Linked DNA regions of Drosophila melanogaster. The protein of the gene in region 4 interacts with the protein of the main gene of each other region in a pairwise test. Each region holds a gene or a part of one and is shown on either strand. Other genes may lie near its edges.

Evidence for each region.
Region 1: the proteins of CG4666 (region 4) and CG5532 interact in a two-hybrid assay, tested with the Drosophila melanogaster proteins (one large-scale study listed by BioGRID).
Region 2: the proteins of CG4666 (region 4) and CG15449 interact in a two-hybrid assay, tested with the Drosophila melanogaster proteins (one large-scale study listed by BioGRID).
Region 3: the proteins of CG4666 (region 4) and CG1418 interact in a two-hybrid assay, tested with the Drosophila melanogaster proteins (one large-scale study listed by BioGRID).

Annotation. Positions count from the first base shown.
Region 1 is NT_033778.4:23,751,064-23,754,123, reverse strand, and holds CG5532 (uncharacterized protein), read right to left. Parts: upstream 1,371-3,060; 5' UTR 1,295-1,370; coding exon 1,219-1,294; intron 1,160-1,218; coding exon 897-1,159; 3' UTR 609-896; downstream 1-608. Other genes in the region: CG11300 (uncharacterized protein), read right to left, coding at 1,702-2,175; CG12491 (uncharacterized protein), read right to left, coding at 2,966-3,060.
Region 2 is NC_004354.4:21,038,894-21,042,463, forward strand, and holds CG15449 (uncharacterized protein), read right to left. Parts: upstream 1,713-3,570; 5' UTR 1,546-1,712; coding exon 1,492-1,545; exon of another isoform or gene 1,267-1,491; coding exon 1,143-1,266; exon of another isoform or gene 1,122-1,142; intron 1,054-1,121; exon of another isoform or gene 1,041-1,053; coding exon 823-1,040; 3' UTR 621-822; downstream 1-620.
Region 3 is NT_033778.4:9,963,250-9,967,161, reverse strand, and holds CG1418 (uncharacterized protein), read left to right. Parts: upstream 1-2,094; 5' UTR 2,095-2,445; coding exon 2,446-2,528; intron 2,529-2,580; coding exon 2,581-2,787; intron 2,788-2,840; coding exon 2,841-3,132; 3' UTR 3,133-3,327; downstream 3,328-3,912. Other genes in the region: Pal1 (Peptidyl-alpha-hydroxyglycine-alpha-amidating lyase 1), read right to left, coding at 3,795-3,912.
Region 4 is NC_004354.4:6,075,385-6,079,560, reverse strand, and holds CG4666 (uncharacterized protein), read left to right. Parts: upstream 1-1,774; 5' UTR 1,775-2,224; intron 2,225-2,576; 5' UTR 2,577-2,609; coding exon 2,610-3,191; 3' UTR 3,192-3,489; downstream 3,490-4,176. Other genes in the region: CG4660 (uncharacterized protein), read left to right, coding at 77-487.

The DNA.
Region 1 (3,060 bases), on a different chromosome or scaffold from region 4:
AATGATTGCCTGTTTGCTGAGGGCAACGCAGCAGCCAGCAATGTTGTTATGTTCAGTACACGCATATATTATGTAATCTAATTTAATGCAAAATGCAAACAATTTTGTAAAATAGTACATATAATTCTGTAAAAACTTCATCTACACATGCACGCACTTTCGGCAGACAACCTAAATTATTTCTTGAGCCACAAATCAATCGAAAGGAAATTTAATAATAATCCCACTTTCCAATGTGATAAACATATATAATTTGTACACTCTACTTAACAAATATTTATCGTTTCCTGTTGGGAAAATGCTAGAAAGGTGGAGAATCGATAATATACTTACCTTGCCGCACTTTGCCTGCAGAAAACTCAAATTATTCACTTCATTATTGTAATAAACTTGTTAGAAGCCTAAATTCTAAAAAAAAAAAAAAATCCATCACTCTACGTTTACCTAGCCTAATGCTCTTTTCATGCAGCAACAAAATGTAATAGCTAAGTTTTAGTTGTAGTTAACTGAACATCGTATAATAGATGAAACTGTAAATTTATCACACACACAAAAGAAACAAAAGCTAAGTTAAACAATAAATATACAAAAAAAGATTTGAATGTACGAAATGGTGTATTTCTGTGCTTCTATGCGAACTGTCATACCAAAGTGCCTGAAAGTATGCTATTAAATGTGACCAAGTATTACAATTGAGTACAAAGAAGTCCACAAGTTAAAAGCATAGGTGATAAAATATATTTGCAGCAAGTACAGTTCCTAATCACTATCTTAGAAAGTGACACAGCGCATTACCAAAGTTCCAATCACCGAAAAGTAGAAAACCTATTCAATACGAATGAAGAATGAAGGTAGGGCAATCTCCTGGCAAGTCCAGCATGTGGCCGGAAATTAGCCTAAGGGGCCTTTGTGCCGGCGGGCATTAGGTAGCGATTATAGGTGGCCAGGTTCTTGACCAAGGCGGCCACGGATAGCATGCACACCATTCCGGCGGGCATCAGTTTTCCGGATCGGTTCCAGCGGGCGCCCATCAGCCCGGCCAGGAACAGGGAGGTGCCCAACTGGAGCAGGGGACGAGGCGTGTCCTGGGAGTTGAGGTGGGCGCCATAGCCGAGCAGGGCTCCGAAGGCCAGACCAGCACCCAGCGAGGGAATGGAACCTGGAATGCAGGGCGTTGCACAATCGGACATGACCACGGTCAGGGGGCTGGTCACTTACCCGCCTTGGCGTATCCCATGATTCCTCCGGCGGCGACCGTGGCTGCGTACACATATCCGAACCAATCCACCGGCATTTCGATTTATTTTGATTAAATTTCGGGGTAACCTTTGTTTTGGTGAGAAGTGGAGGTGTTAGTATGACCCTTCCTGCCTTAGTAGAAAGAAGATCCGCTCCGCAGTGCACGAAATTCAGACATCTGGCAGCACCGTTTCGCGGTCATTTTGAATTAAATATGTGCAACGAACTTCCTAATCAGAATATTTATTTCAATGTTTAGAACGCTTCTATTCGAAATATTCATTGCAATGTTTAGAAAGTTTGTTGGGCAAATATAAGTTAGTTTACTAATGTATGCATTACAAAAAGAGCGATGGTTCCTCTAATTTAAAAAGCCATTCAATACATTTATGTTTTTTTTAGATTTATTGCATTTCTGTCTGGAATTTTATTTCAAATTCGTAGCCAACATGTTCGTGAATTTTACAATAGACGACGGTGACGGTGTACACGGCGAACCACTCGCCCCTGACCACCACCTCCATTCTGATTACTCTGGTTGGCCTGACGCCTCTCGCGGCGGAGCTGACGCCTCAGCCGGCGCAGCCGACGCCTGAGCCTAATCACTTCCTGGCTGCTGCTGGATCCACTGTCACTGGGCGATGTGGGCGTAGCTGGTGATGTCGAGGAAGCGGGCGCATCAGGAGTAGCTGGCGAGGACGGTGTTCCAGTCGCTGGAGTTGGCGAGGTCGGTGTACCAGCAGCTGGGGATGCTGAAGGTGGTGTTCCAGTCGCTGGGGATGGTGAGGGCGGTGTTCCAGTCGCTGGAGGTGGCGAGGTTGGGGTTCCAGCCGGTGGAGATGACGCGGGTGGGGATCCTGCCGCAGGTGGAGAATCGGCGTAGGCAGTTGCTATTAGGGCCAAAAGCCCAAAGGCGATAACGAATTGGCAACGCATCTTCAGCTCAGTTTGTCACTAAATGGAGTACTGTGTGGATAGTGGTTTAAATCCGAGTATTTATAGGGATGATCCACTTGATTCGCTTTAATTGTCGAATCTGTGTTTGCTTTGAATGTTTTAGAGTACATTTTACGTTCTCGTCAAGACAAATAGATTAAACTCAATAAAAAGACGAGACTATCTTCTCTGTAAGCGCGAAAGCTGTTGATGGCTGTGGAAAGTTCTAATTCGTTAGTAATTAAACAAAACGGTTTTTTTTTGGATTGGCTGGCTGAACGTATTGTTAGCATGTGTGCAAACACGGTACATTGTTTATTAAATAGATGAATATGTATTGTTAAGCCTTTTGAACAGAAAGCCATATTTAAATAACCTCTAAGCTTAAATAAAGATTAAGATGGCATATTGTACATAAAGAATGAATTCTCACTAAAAGAAAACTTAGAACAAACTCCTATTTTTCACTTTCATTTGCAAGTTCCTAATCGATTAAGTTATCATCTGGAATTATGTCTGCACTTAGACCAGTTCCACTTGATCAACTAACTAGATCGGAAAATGATTTACTTAGGATTCTTCATTAGAGTATATAGTGTAGCCTTCTTCTTCTTTTCCAAGATGAAACCGAATATTGAATTTCTTTGTTTGACTAACAATTCGATCCAAATGATTTCACTTGTTTTTAAGGTGCCAAGTTACCAAGTCATAACTACGATTGTTGCTTTTGTGTATGCATTTATTTTTCAATTTGGACCATTTCATTGTTCGATCGGGTTAAGCCGATGGTTTATCCCCTACGTTGGCGCCTTCTTCCAGCACGACTCTGCTGGCGCCTTTCCTGCTGCCTCTCCCGGCGAATCTCCTGGCGCCTCTCCTGACGCC
Region 2 (3,570 bases), about 15 Mb from region 4:
AGCACCACACATAATCGACATCCAAAGATGCCCAGCGCCAGATGATAACAACAAGCTCGGCAGTGGAACTCAGAAAAAAAAAATATAACAAAGCCAGCCAGCGGTCTCACGATTATCAGCAAATACAAAAGTTAGAAAAAGAAAAAAAAAAAAAAAACAATAAAAAAATAAGAAAATAACGCTAACTACTATTACGATGTCAACAAAATGGGCCGCCAGCTCACCTTCATTTGTGTCCCATTGTTGCCGGTACTCTCGCTTTACGATCCACGGAACCCTAGAATTATATGTTCTGCGAACACCTGGATCTCGCGATCTAATTTAGCTAGGACTATCGAATTTGGTGGTATGTGCCGTGCTACAAGCTCGTATTTCGAATTCCCGTGAAATGAGCAGGAACAGCAGGCCGGGATCATCGCCTACATAAGTTTAGAGTGATTTTCTAGACCGTTTATATTTCCAATTGAATTATTTGTACTTTAATTATGAGGATTATTTTAGATAGCCGTATTGCAAATGTATTGTGTCGAGTGTCTCGCTCTGTAAACAATTACTTGAGTACCGGGACTGCACCACACACAGTCGCAAGTATCGACTCTTGCTTTCTCATATGACTAATTGAGCGATGGCGAATTACTTTTTATTGAGAGAAAAAAAAAACACTTAAATATAAAGATAAACGTTAACAGTTTGGTTGTTTGTATGATTGGCGGAATGGCCAGTTGAACCGGAAAGATATGTATACCCTTATAAGCTATTAAATGCATACGAAAGAAGCTCCAGCGGATCTGGCCAGTGGTTTCCGTCTAAAAACTGAACGATTCACTTGTCGCGAAATGTGAACACCGCATCGAATCCGAATAGCACCCCATTGACGATGGACAGCGAGGCCTTGATGAGCGCGAGATCCCGAGTTCGGGTGCGGAAGGAGAACTCCCAGGCCTCAATGATGAACACACCGCTGGCCACGAACAAGGTGCAGCCCAGGACGCTGAAGAATATATCGATGCGCTTGTGAATGGGTGCCCGCATCAGAACGCCTGCAATTGCAAGGTATCTTAAGTAGATTTGTGTGCAAATTTCGTTTTTGGTTAACTTATTTTAGTATTTTAACTCTTAAGGACTGGCATTCCAAGGCGTACCTGCAAAGACCCCGATGACCACTATGATGTAGCCCGTGAAGGTGCCAGTGGCCAGGAACGAAGTCATTATATCGCGATCGTTGAAGCTGTAGAAGTGGAGCACCAGACACGCTACCGCAAAACCCTGGAAAAGTGAGGGGATTTTCATTTGTGGTGCTTCTTGGTGTTCTTATAATTTCCGAGTCTATCTGGTATTTCGGGTCTTTTCTTTTAATTCCCAAGTCGTTTTTTTTTTTTTTTTTTTTTTTTTTGACAAACCATTGTTTAGTAAGCATACGCGTTGCTTTTTGCATTAATTCATTAATCCTTAGAACTTGCAGTAAAATCACTTGAAAAAAAAATCCTTTACCAGTTCGAGAAACTTGACCACATTGAGGCGGCCTTTTCGCTCGCCATGAGACATTTTGTGAAACTGCTGCCGCTGACAGTCCTCGAAAATGTGGTCCAGCTTGAAAATGTACGTGTCGCAACTCAAGAAAGTTCCAAAGTTCTTCCGATTGGCCTCTTTGGAGCGTGCTCGCGACGGCAGAGCGCTGGACAAACTGATTCTGATTCGGAAATGGATGACGGATGGCAGGCAAATGCGGCTGCAGTTTGCAGTTGGGCGCAGTCGGGCCCAGCCAGCGAAATTAATTAATTACACTTAGGAAATAGGCTTTTCATTCTTGTTCCCATCCCTGTGTATCCGCCCACGTCCACCACGTCCGCCGGGCCTCTCGGTTCCATCTCTGAAGTGGAGACCGTCTGCGTTCTCCGCTGCCAGCTGCACTCGAGCCCCATCCCTTCCAGCTTGATTGAGTGGAGCATAATGTCTGTATCTGCATGCATGCTCTGTGCCGGTGGGTGGCCAGTGGACAGTGGGCAGCCGCCCAATGGACTCGGACTCATTGTGCTCGCATTGCCATTACCCCAAATTTGCTGCCTAACCTTCGGGGCCCAAGATCGGAGCTAATTCGCGGAATCGGGGCCAACGGGTCGCCAATTTTCCGATGGTAATCAAGTGGATAATGGAAAACATATCGCCGGGGAAATCACTTCCTCAAATCATGAATAATCTTATGGACTTCATGGGAATTATTAGGTTGTAAGGTTGTGTTGCAACGCTTTTCAGATATAAAAGTGGATTTGTAATGCATGGAATATATTTTTTAATATATTACAAGTACTGTACTTTTTAAGTGCAATTAAAAGCTTAGAGCAACATAAAAAGTAAGCCGAATTTTATATACCCTTCACCTATAGTAACTTAGCTACCACTAGCTTGGACGACTACAGTCGTCCTGTTTTAATAAAATGTATTTTATTTCTATTTATTTTTCCTGTATTTTTTACGAACGTTAAACTGCAAATCCCATTCCGCTCGCTCCTAGTTCAGCTAAATTATATAGTTTATATAAAATTAGATTAGTAATTACATTTCCGACCCGGCCTGTTATTGCCTTATCTAATACCTGCAATAGGTTTAATAGTTTAAGTAAATACGATTACGTGGAAATAAACAGACACGGTAAGATTTAGTTGGGTGTCAATTCTGACTAAAAATATATATCTAAGTAATATATACTTTGTTCCTGACTAAAACAATAACACTTCCTGTGTTCTATGGTCAATTTGAAAACATGCAAAATAAGTTGTTACAGCTGAACAAATCTATTTTTAATTTTTAAATTAGTTCTCTATAGAGTGTTTATGCCACATGTTGAACCTATTTATCTTAACTTAACATCAACTGCTTTATTAATTTCAAAACCTAACCATTAAAATAAATATATGTTTTTAGAATAATTTCGGCTGGTAGCAAGCAGAAGTACATATACGATTATTTATTATCAAAAGCCCAGCTTATCAGTTTGAAGGCAACTTTTGATATGATTCAACGCAGACACAGGTGCGCATTGAAACTATATTTAGACCTTCTTATCGCTTCAATGTTTTGATTAATCCGTATTTTCTGTTTCAATTTTGAAAATGCATTTTTCAAGACCTTACTACCAGAACGAAATCCAATTGAGCTTTGGCAAGCTTTTTGTTTCAGCAATTTTACGGTAATTAGCAGCAATTCCCATGCTATTGTAGTTCTATTAAAAGTTAATCGCCAGCACTTTACAGTGACAGCAAAACTAGTTATACTAGTTGCGAACTATGATCGAAAATGATACCCCACCGAGCTACATGGTTACAAGACTAAGAATTTTTCAGGTACAACTTTCACTGAAATATAGAACTCCGAAAATAATGCATTGTAAGAGAATACAAGAAAAATTATTCAGCATGTTGATAAATTCAAATTAAATAGAAGAAAACATTTTCCGAACTACCTAATCTATATAATCAATCATAAAACCCGAAACAAAATCGGAATTTAAAGAACAAGATTCACTCAAATCGATATACCCAACCTACAAGGTATCAACTGCTTCTGTTTTCA
Region 3 (3,912 bases), on a different chromosome or scaffold from region 4:
AATGGCCGAAAATAGCATTTGTAACACTGTATGAAATCCTATTAAAGATTGCATTTTCCTGGTAAGACTATAGTTTTGTGTAGCGAAATCAACCCAATGAAGTTCCAATTTTGTAATTATAAGGTATTAATTATTGTTGAGACCAAAAATAGATCCGTGAGCTGCCAAAGTATATATTTAACACTGACACTGATCCGATGAAATTGTAGATATGTATATTGTATTGTAGTTGCCACTATTTACCAAATTGGAAAGAATTCGCCAAGGAAATCGCTTGAAGCAAAAGTGCCAAATAAAAATGGATCGAGACCATCTTGAAATGTCAAAGCCTAACCGAATACTGAATTCAAAAGCCAGTTGGTCTTAAAAGTTCAAGCTTATCTCGATTGCTAAAATGATTCATGGCACGATGTCCAATCCACAACTTTCCTTGGGTTAATTATAATGGCCTGCCTGTCCGTCCGTATGAATGTCGAGATGTCGGAAACATTAAGAGTAAGGAAGCATGTAAGTTTTCTTTAAAACCGTGCCACGCCCCTGTTACGCCCTAAACTCCTAAAACGCTCACATCCTAAAAGTCTTCTGGATACCAGGAAACGTTCAAATCCTACTACTTTTAAACATATCAAAACTGTAGTAATAGATTGATCAGAGCTATATCCTTGCTACACGCCAAATTATTCAAATTCTACATATCCATATGTTGCAGGTTCATAAACTGAGTAACAGGTATCTAACAGTCGCAACACTCGAATACATTCACAGGTTTTTTGGAAATGAAGGACACCATCACCCTGATACCGCGTGACTAGAACGAGATTTATTTTTTACTTTCTCCACAATCCCAAAATACCGTTGAACAAAAAGATGATAATCAATTTCCATCTCCGTAAACAAATATAAATCCATTCTGAATATTTCAAGACACAATTTTTTTAAGTTAAAATCAAAAATCTGATTCATACCGGAACTGTGAAAAAATACTTATCACTTGTGTCACACCAGCAATATGTTATGACGTCAAAAATCCATATCTGTAAATATATCTAAGTTAGAACTTTTATTATATAGTCTATATTCATAATGGTAATGCAAATGAAAACTCTCTTAACTTCTAAAACTCTTTGTTGGTAAATGTAAATAGAAATGTAACATTTAACCTGAGTGTGTATACAAGATACAAGAAATATAAGATATGTATGTATTAGCCAGAAGACCTGAGAAAAATTTAATGGATGTTGTGTTATCCGTCAAATAAATTGTTCAAAAAATATTTAAAATATCAGCGCGATTCTTACCTGTTACTTGTAAAGCAACGCAGACTCTTAAAATTTCTTTCGTTACGCCTACTTATATAAAAGGAAATTAAAAGAATTGCTTAATATGTTTGCTTTGTTTGGCCTTGTTAAAAGAAATAATAAGTAATTCTGTGATGAAAACATTTTTAAGCAGAGAGAACTATATAGTCCAGTTCCTCGACTATCAGATACCAATTACTCAGCTGGTGGAAAAGTTCAACATTCATTTTGGCTTATCTATACAAATTGGAAAAAAAAATAATAAGATGAAAAATAGGCAAGTAACTTTTTAAAAGTGTGGGTTTGGTTTGGTTTGGGCGCATCCAACATATCTTTTGCCATACTGATAACAAATAGTAAAATTAAAAAATGTCTACACATAAAAGTGAAGACGTAGCAGATTTCAGTGTTAAAATGGGCGTGGTAAAAGGTTTTTGGCATAGCTCTAGAAATTGGCAAGACAAGTAATAAAATGAAAAAAAATCGATTCATTTTTTTAAATTGTGGCGTTGCATCATCAGAAAGAAACTGAATTTCTAATCTTAACTTTCTAGCTTTAATAGTTCAAGTTAATAGACAAGGATATCAAAAATATATACATTTTTAAACGAATCTAGTATAACCATCTACTACACGAGTAATAGGTAGAAAAATATAATTGTTTTGTGTAAAAATATCATTAAAAAATAATTCAAATGTTTAGAGAAAAAGTTTTGTATTAAATGTTTGATTGCATTCAGCGCTTTGGATTTGTTTTCAGTTGATTTCGAGAATTTGCGCACTCGCAACTCTGGCCACACCGCACGTCACGGCAACGGCAATCCTAGAACTATCTGCCACATCAGATTTTTCAAACTTTGTATACTGTTTCTCAAAAGAAAACGATGTCATAGCAAATTAAGAGTGAATCGTAAAATCAACATCGAAAGTGTTGCCGCCTCCATGTAGAAGTGACCCCGCTAAAGTCCTCGCCGCTTTACAAACGCCGCAGCATCCTCAAGACAGTTCTTGGACCAAGTGGAACGAATCCAAAGATACACATAACACTTGTGGAACGCCCACACTTGTCGAAAGAAGAATTGTAGATTGCAGCGAAGACGTGTATCTAAGATAAGTGTTAGGACGAGGTTGGGAAAGCACAAGCAAAATGGCACACACTGGCGGGAACCTATCCGGTAACATGCAGCCGCCACCGCCTTCCGGAGGCAGGTTCTCCGTGGACATGCAAAGGTGAGTAAACCGTAACAAGGAGCGAATAGCTAATTACTCTTGAACCCTGCAGCCTGCCCTCGCTATCCAACCTGCCATCACCGCTGCAGATCTTCCAAATGGTCCGAAACTCCCTGCGGCCCTGGGTAGTCTTCTTCAACATCAACAATTTCAAAACGGCCATCAGCATGCAGCGGCTAAATAGCCGGGTTATTCGGAATCTCTCCTATTTTCAGGCCAACTACGTTTTCATCTTTTTTGTACTGATGATATACTGCCTGTAAGTGATTCTAAAAACCTTATTGCACCCCATTTAATAGTTATAATCTTAAGCATCACGGCTCCCTGCATTCTGCTGGTCATCCTGGCTTCCGCTTTTGGCTGCCATAAGCTGCGCGTGCGCAACAGTAACATTACCATCGTGGGACAACAACTGACGCCCAGCCAGCAGATCATCGCACTCAATCTGGCGACGGCACCAGTGCTATTCCTGGTGGGCGCGGGTGCGGTTTTGTTTTGGACGCTGGGTGCTTCATGCTTCGTGATTGCTATGCATGCTATATTCTACAACATCGATGCTATTGTAACGGAGGAGAATGAGGGTTTCCTCGCCCAGGTTGTCTGACCGCCAGCCAGAAGCTAAACCCTAGGTCTTCTGGGATCGTGGCAACCAGGGACGAGGAAAGGGGCTAAACATATTCGCCACTATGGGGCCTTGCAAGTCGACACAATATGTTGTACACCTATTTATAACGAAATCTAGTTAAGCCGCAGACTTTAAATAATCGAAATACACACTATGACAGATTCATACGACTATATTCTTTTTGGCAAATTAATCGCAATATATGAGGCGCATTCGCTGAGAACTTCGATTTAATTCGAAAAAAAAAATTAATTTAAAGGATGTGGTCAAGTCATTGGACTCTGTGGCACTTACAATATTTCAGATATTTTCGAGCTCTTTAGAGGCATGCGTTTTAAAAATGTATTCTTTTAAATAAAGAATAAATATAAGTAACCGGAAAAAAATCGCATAGTCGGTTCTCCAAAAGAAGTTTCCATAAATAAGCTGTTTAAAATACATTGAACAAACGGCTCAATAAATCAACTAGAAATACACCACGATCGGAATTCTCTGCGATATGCACCACAAGGAAGGTAAATAAAGTTACCTAAAGTACACACATATACATAGCTCGCGTAAAACTAAGTCGGTATTTCAATGAGGTACAGGTAGTTAGAACTAGGAATGCTTTGTTAGCTGCGTAAGTCTTGGTCCTTCGCCTAGGCGTACTGGGCACTCGCCAGTGTCTTCGTCTCCTGCTCCTCGTCGCTGGCCTGCTGGTCCAGCTTCTCGAATCCGTTGCGATCCCGATCGAGAAGTCCGCCCAGCTTGAAGCCA
Region 4 (4,176 bases):
GTTCAAAAGCAATATAAAAATATATAAGAAAAATATACTTAAGGTATCGCATTTCTAAACGCCTATTTCCTTTCAGATTATTTACTGGGACGAGCAGTCACTCTTCATGGAGCACCGCTTTGTGCGTCCATCGGACAAGTTCGTGCACTGCATCGCCATCTGCCGGCAGCGGGTGATCGACGTGTCCATGGAGGCGGTGATGTCGGAGCTACTGCCCAGGACCTCCTCCAACGGATTCCGGGCGACGGTGCTGACCTCGCTGGCTGCTCCGTCGCCGGCAGCTGGTGGCATAAGCAATCCCGCGATGGACACTTCGCTGGCGGAGAACGGACATGGGACGACGAGCGGTGGAGCGGCGGGCACGGGTGCCACGGCCAGCGCGACCGCGGCGCACTGCTTGAAGCTGAAGCCCTCGCTGCCGCCGGAGTTGGCCAAGTGGATCGAGTACAACGATATGTCGAGCAAGAATCTACGCAGTGGCTGCTGACTGGAATCGTTGGAGTCGCCGGAAGCGGATGCGCAACCGGAAACGGAAACGCCCATTATTACATGTTTTTTTTTTCTTGTCTCGCGTGCTTGTGTGTGTGAGTGTGCGTGCTAAAGTGTGCTAATGTTTAATGTCTAAGTGTGCACGTGAAATGTTTGTATTGTAAGCTATGTAAGGGTCTGTAAAACAAATAAGAAAAGCCCGCCCTCTTTTGGCCTTAACTAATGTATTGTATAATTACCCAGAGATCAGACACGCCCCCCCGAATAATGAACTAGAAATACAAACAAAACTCCTTGGTAGTCCACAGTGTGTAAGCTATGATGTACAATGATTGTTTAGTAAATGAACAAACCTAATGTGAATAATGATGAGCTATGTATATATTCTTGGGCTTTGGCGCCTAAAGGCAGGCTACACTTTGCTACCAATTAAGCAATTGGTGCACGGCTTATGGGTAATCTTGTTTACATTCACGATTAAGCCGTGCTAAAACCCATTGGTAAATATTGTGTTTAGATACAAAATCACCTGCTTAGGACTAGTGAGTATACCCCCTCTTGAACTTTCAGCAGTAGCCCTTTTAGATTTTGTATATTCGGGTAATTTGCCGTCTAAAAAATGCCAGGTGATCGCAGTTCGATGGCTAGTGTTTACACCGATCGGAGAGTAGCTATAGCTTTAAGCGTTTACCTGTGAATTTGCCTATTACGCCACACCAGAGATTCCCACACATCGGCGAACGGTCGTTGGAATCGAAATCAATCGATTGCTTAGGTAAGATGGAATTATCTGTACAGGTGAGCCAAGAAATACGGGGAAAAACAAGCGAAAGTGGGCGAAGTGGGGACATACAAAGGGGGTCATTCCAGTGTTGACCATAACTATTTGAGAAAAGTAGCTAAAATACCTATTTAACTTAGCTACTACGCTCTTTTGCGGTTAGGTCGCAATAACTGTCGAAAAGTGACATCAATCCTTGGGTCACCAGCAGTATAAATCCGTATTACAGAAGTAACAAGCTGAATTATTTGTACTAGTTAATTATAGTGTTTACTTTAAAGTTCTGCTTGTAAAACGTATTAATAGACAACAAATTTAGTATATGCCTCGTTAAAACTGTTCTATGGGGTTCAAAAGTGATATCTTAGTTTGTAAATGGTACTTTTCAGTTTAATGCTACTATATTTAACTCGAAAATTGCCAAGTTATCAGCCTTTTTTTCTTATTATTGCATAGTCGCTTTTTCACCGCTTGCGTTCAGTGTTGTTTAAGGAGATTTTTTCTAGCTTTAACAAACATCAAGTTTTCGAATACCACAAATATATAGACAAAATCAACAAGAAGTTCCTCTCGTGTGTAGTGGAGAAGTAGAACCACGTATATTGTTTTTAAAATGCGTTTTGATTTTATTTATTCGTTTGCTCAATTAACTTAGCTTAAAACATAAGTAATTATTTAATTGCCATCACAGCTGGCGTTGTCTAACTTTCGACTGATTGCTTTCTTTTGCTTCGGCATTGCGTCGTCTTCGCTCTTGCCAATCGGCAGTCTTCACTCTACAGTCTGCAGTCTACAATCTCTGGTCTTCAGTCGACGTTGGCCTTGCTTACCCAACGGTTGTGTTGCTGCGTACCGCTCCGCCCGCTTTTACCGCACCGTACCGCCCCTCCCCGCTCTTACCGATCGAACCCAGTTGGTGGTGTGTTTGGCCGAGCTTAACGACCGACTGCAAATGTAAGTATATGTATATCCAGATACTTTGCGAAGGGGTCAACCAATACAATTGACTTTCACGGCGACGGACTTTGGCGATCCGGTAAATCAGCGCCAAAGTCTGATGCACATAGAGAAATCACGGACATATCTTTGGATTTTCTTATTACATTTTTGTTTTTAAATATAATAACACATAAAATATATACAAATGGGTCTCTATTACTAGCTACTTCTTTTCTTTTCCCATCTACCAATTTAAATCTAATAATATTTTAGTTAAATTTAATAGTTATCAGGTTGACCCTAATTTCTTTCCATGTAGTAACAACTTTCGCTGCCACTAACGGGTTTTCGCCCCTCATCTTTTCAGTGGGAATCCAGACACACACAACCAGATATCGCGATGTCTTGGCTGGTTGTTTTGCTGATCCTGTACGTAATCTGGGATGTCAACTACTTCATCCGCTGCGTGTTCACGGTGTTCGCCGGCCGGCTGTTCCAGCGGAAGCGCAAGGTCACGGACACCACGACGATCTATGGACTGTGCACCTCGCAGGACGTGGACATCTTTATCCGGCACATGAACAACGCCCGCTATCTGCGCGAACTGGACTTTGCCCGCTTCCATTTCTACGCCCTCACTGGACTCTATGAGCGCATCCGGGACCGACGCGGCGGTGCCGTCCAGGGAGCCAGCAGTGTTCGCTACCGCCGCACCATACCCATCTTCCATCCGTACAAGATTCAGACCAAGCTGATCTGGTGGGACGACAAGGCCATTTACCTGGAGCAGCAGTTTATTACCCTTTCGGACGGATTTGTACGCGCGGTGGCCATGTCCAAGCAGAACATCACCAACTGCAATGTGCTGGAGGTACTGAAGACCTATCCGGAAACTGCCCAGCGACCGGAGAAGCCGGAGGAGCTCAAGCTCTGGCTGGATGCCATCGAGCTGTCCAGCCAGAAGCTGCGAAAGGACAAGTGAATCGATTGATTGATTCCATCTCCCGCAGCACAGCTCATTTACATATGTTTGCCTCATTTACTTAGATTCGTAGTCATCTTCTATTTTTTTTTTTTGAGTGCATAGTGAAGTAATTCTAGACTGGTGGGTTTTTCACACAAAAAAGAGCGTAACAAAATGTACACAAGTCATGAATCTAAACAATGGCCCATAGCAACTTAAAGACTTTATTTGCTATTATTTTTTCACTGTGCCTTAGTTATAGGAATATTGCATTAATGGAATGGCTGAAGATTTTAAATATAATTTTTTACAAACCAAAAAGTATTGTAAATGTTTAAATAATTTTAGATTGAACATACAATTTTACATCTTTCGCAGTTTGATCGTTTTATCACATATATTTCCTAAAAACGCGTTTTGCGTGGACGGGAGTCGTTGGAGTTTCTTTCACGACTTTCATTTATGCTAAGTTTGATATCACGCAACGCCAAGTCTGTGTCGATAAGTCAATGGATTGTCTTGTTTTCTATATTTTCTTTTTCGCTGTCTTCATTATGGAACAGTTAATTATGAAGACTGCATTTTGGTTATGTAATTTGAAACGAAACTGCTTTGGAACTGTTAACCTCAGAAGTTTGCAAATATTACACACAAATAAGCATAAATAATGTGTGCAAGGGAGAAAAATTGGTATCCAATATATTTGCATAATATATATGGATTATTATTTTCGTTATTATGGTTAAAACACAAAAAAAAAGTGTTTTATTTGGTTTTTTTGTTTTTCTTTGCAAAAAGGGCTGATTATTTTACTGCCCACTTAACGGAGGTTCATTGAACCAATTGTTGTCCTATGCTTTTCCATCTGCAGATAACTATTATCATACTTTATAATAATTACCATATTATCATTGACTTGGACAGCTGAGTGCCATCCGTAATCCGCAGCGTAATCCGTGACGTCATGTCGGATGCAACAGCTGCACACACGGCGTATGAGTGC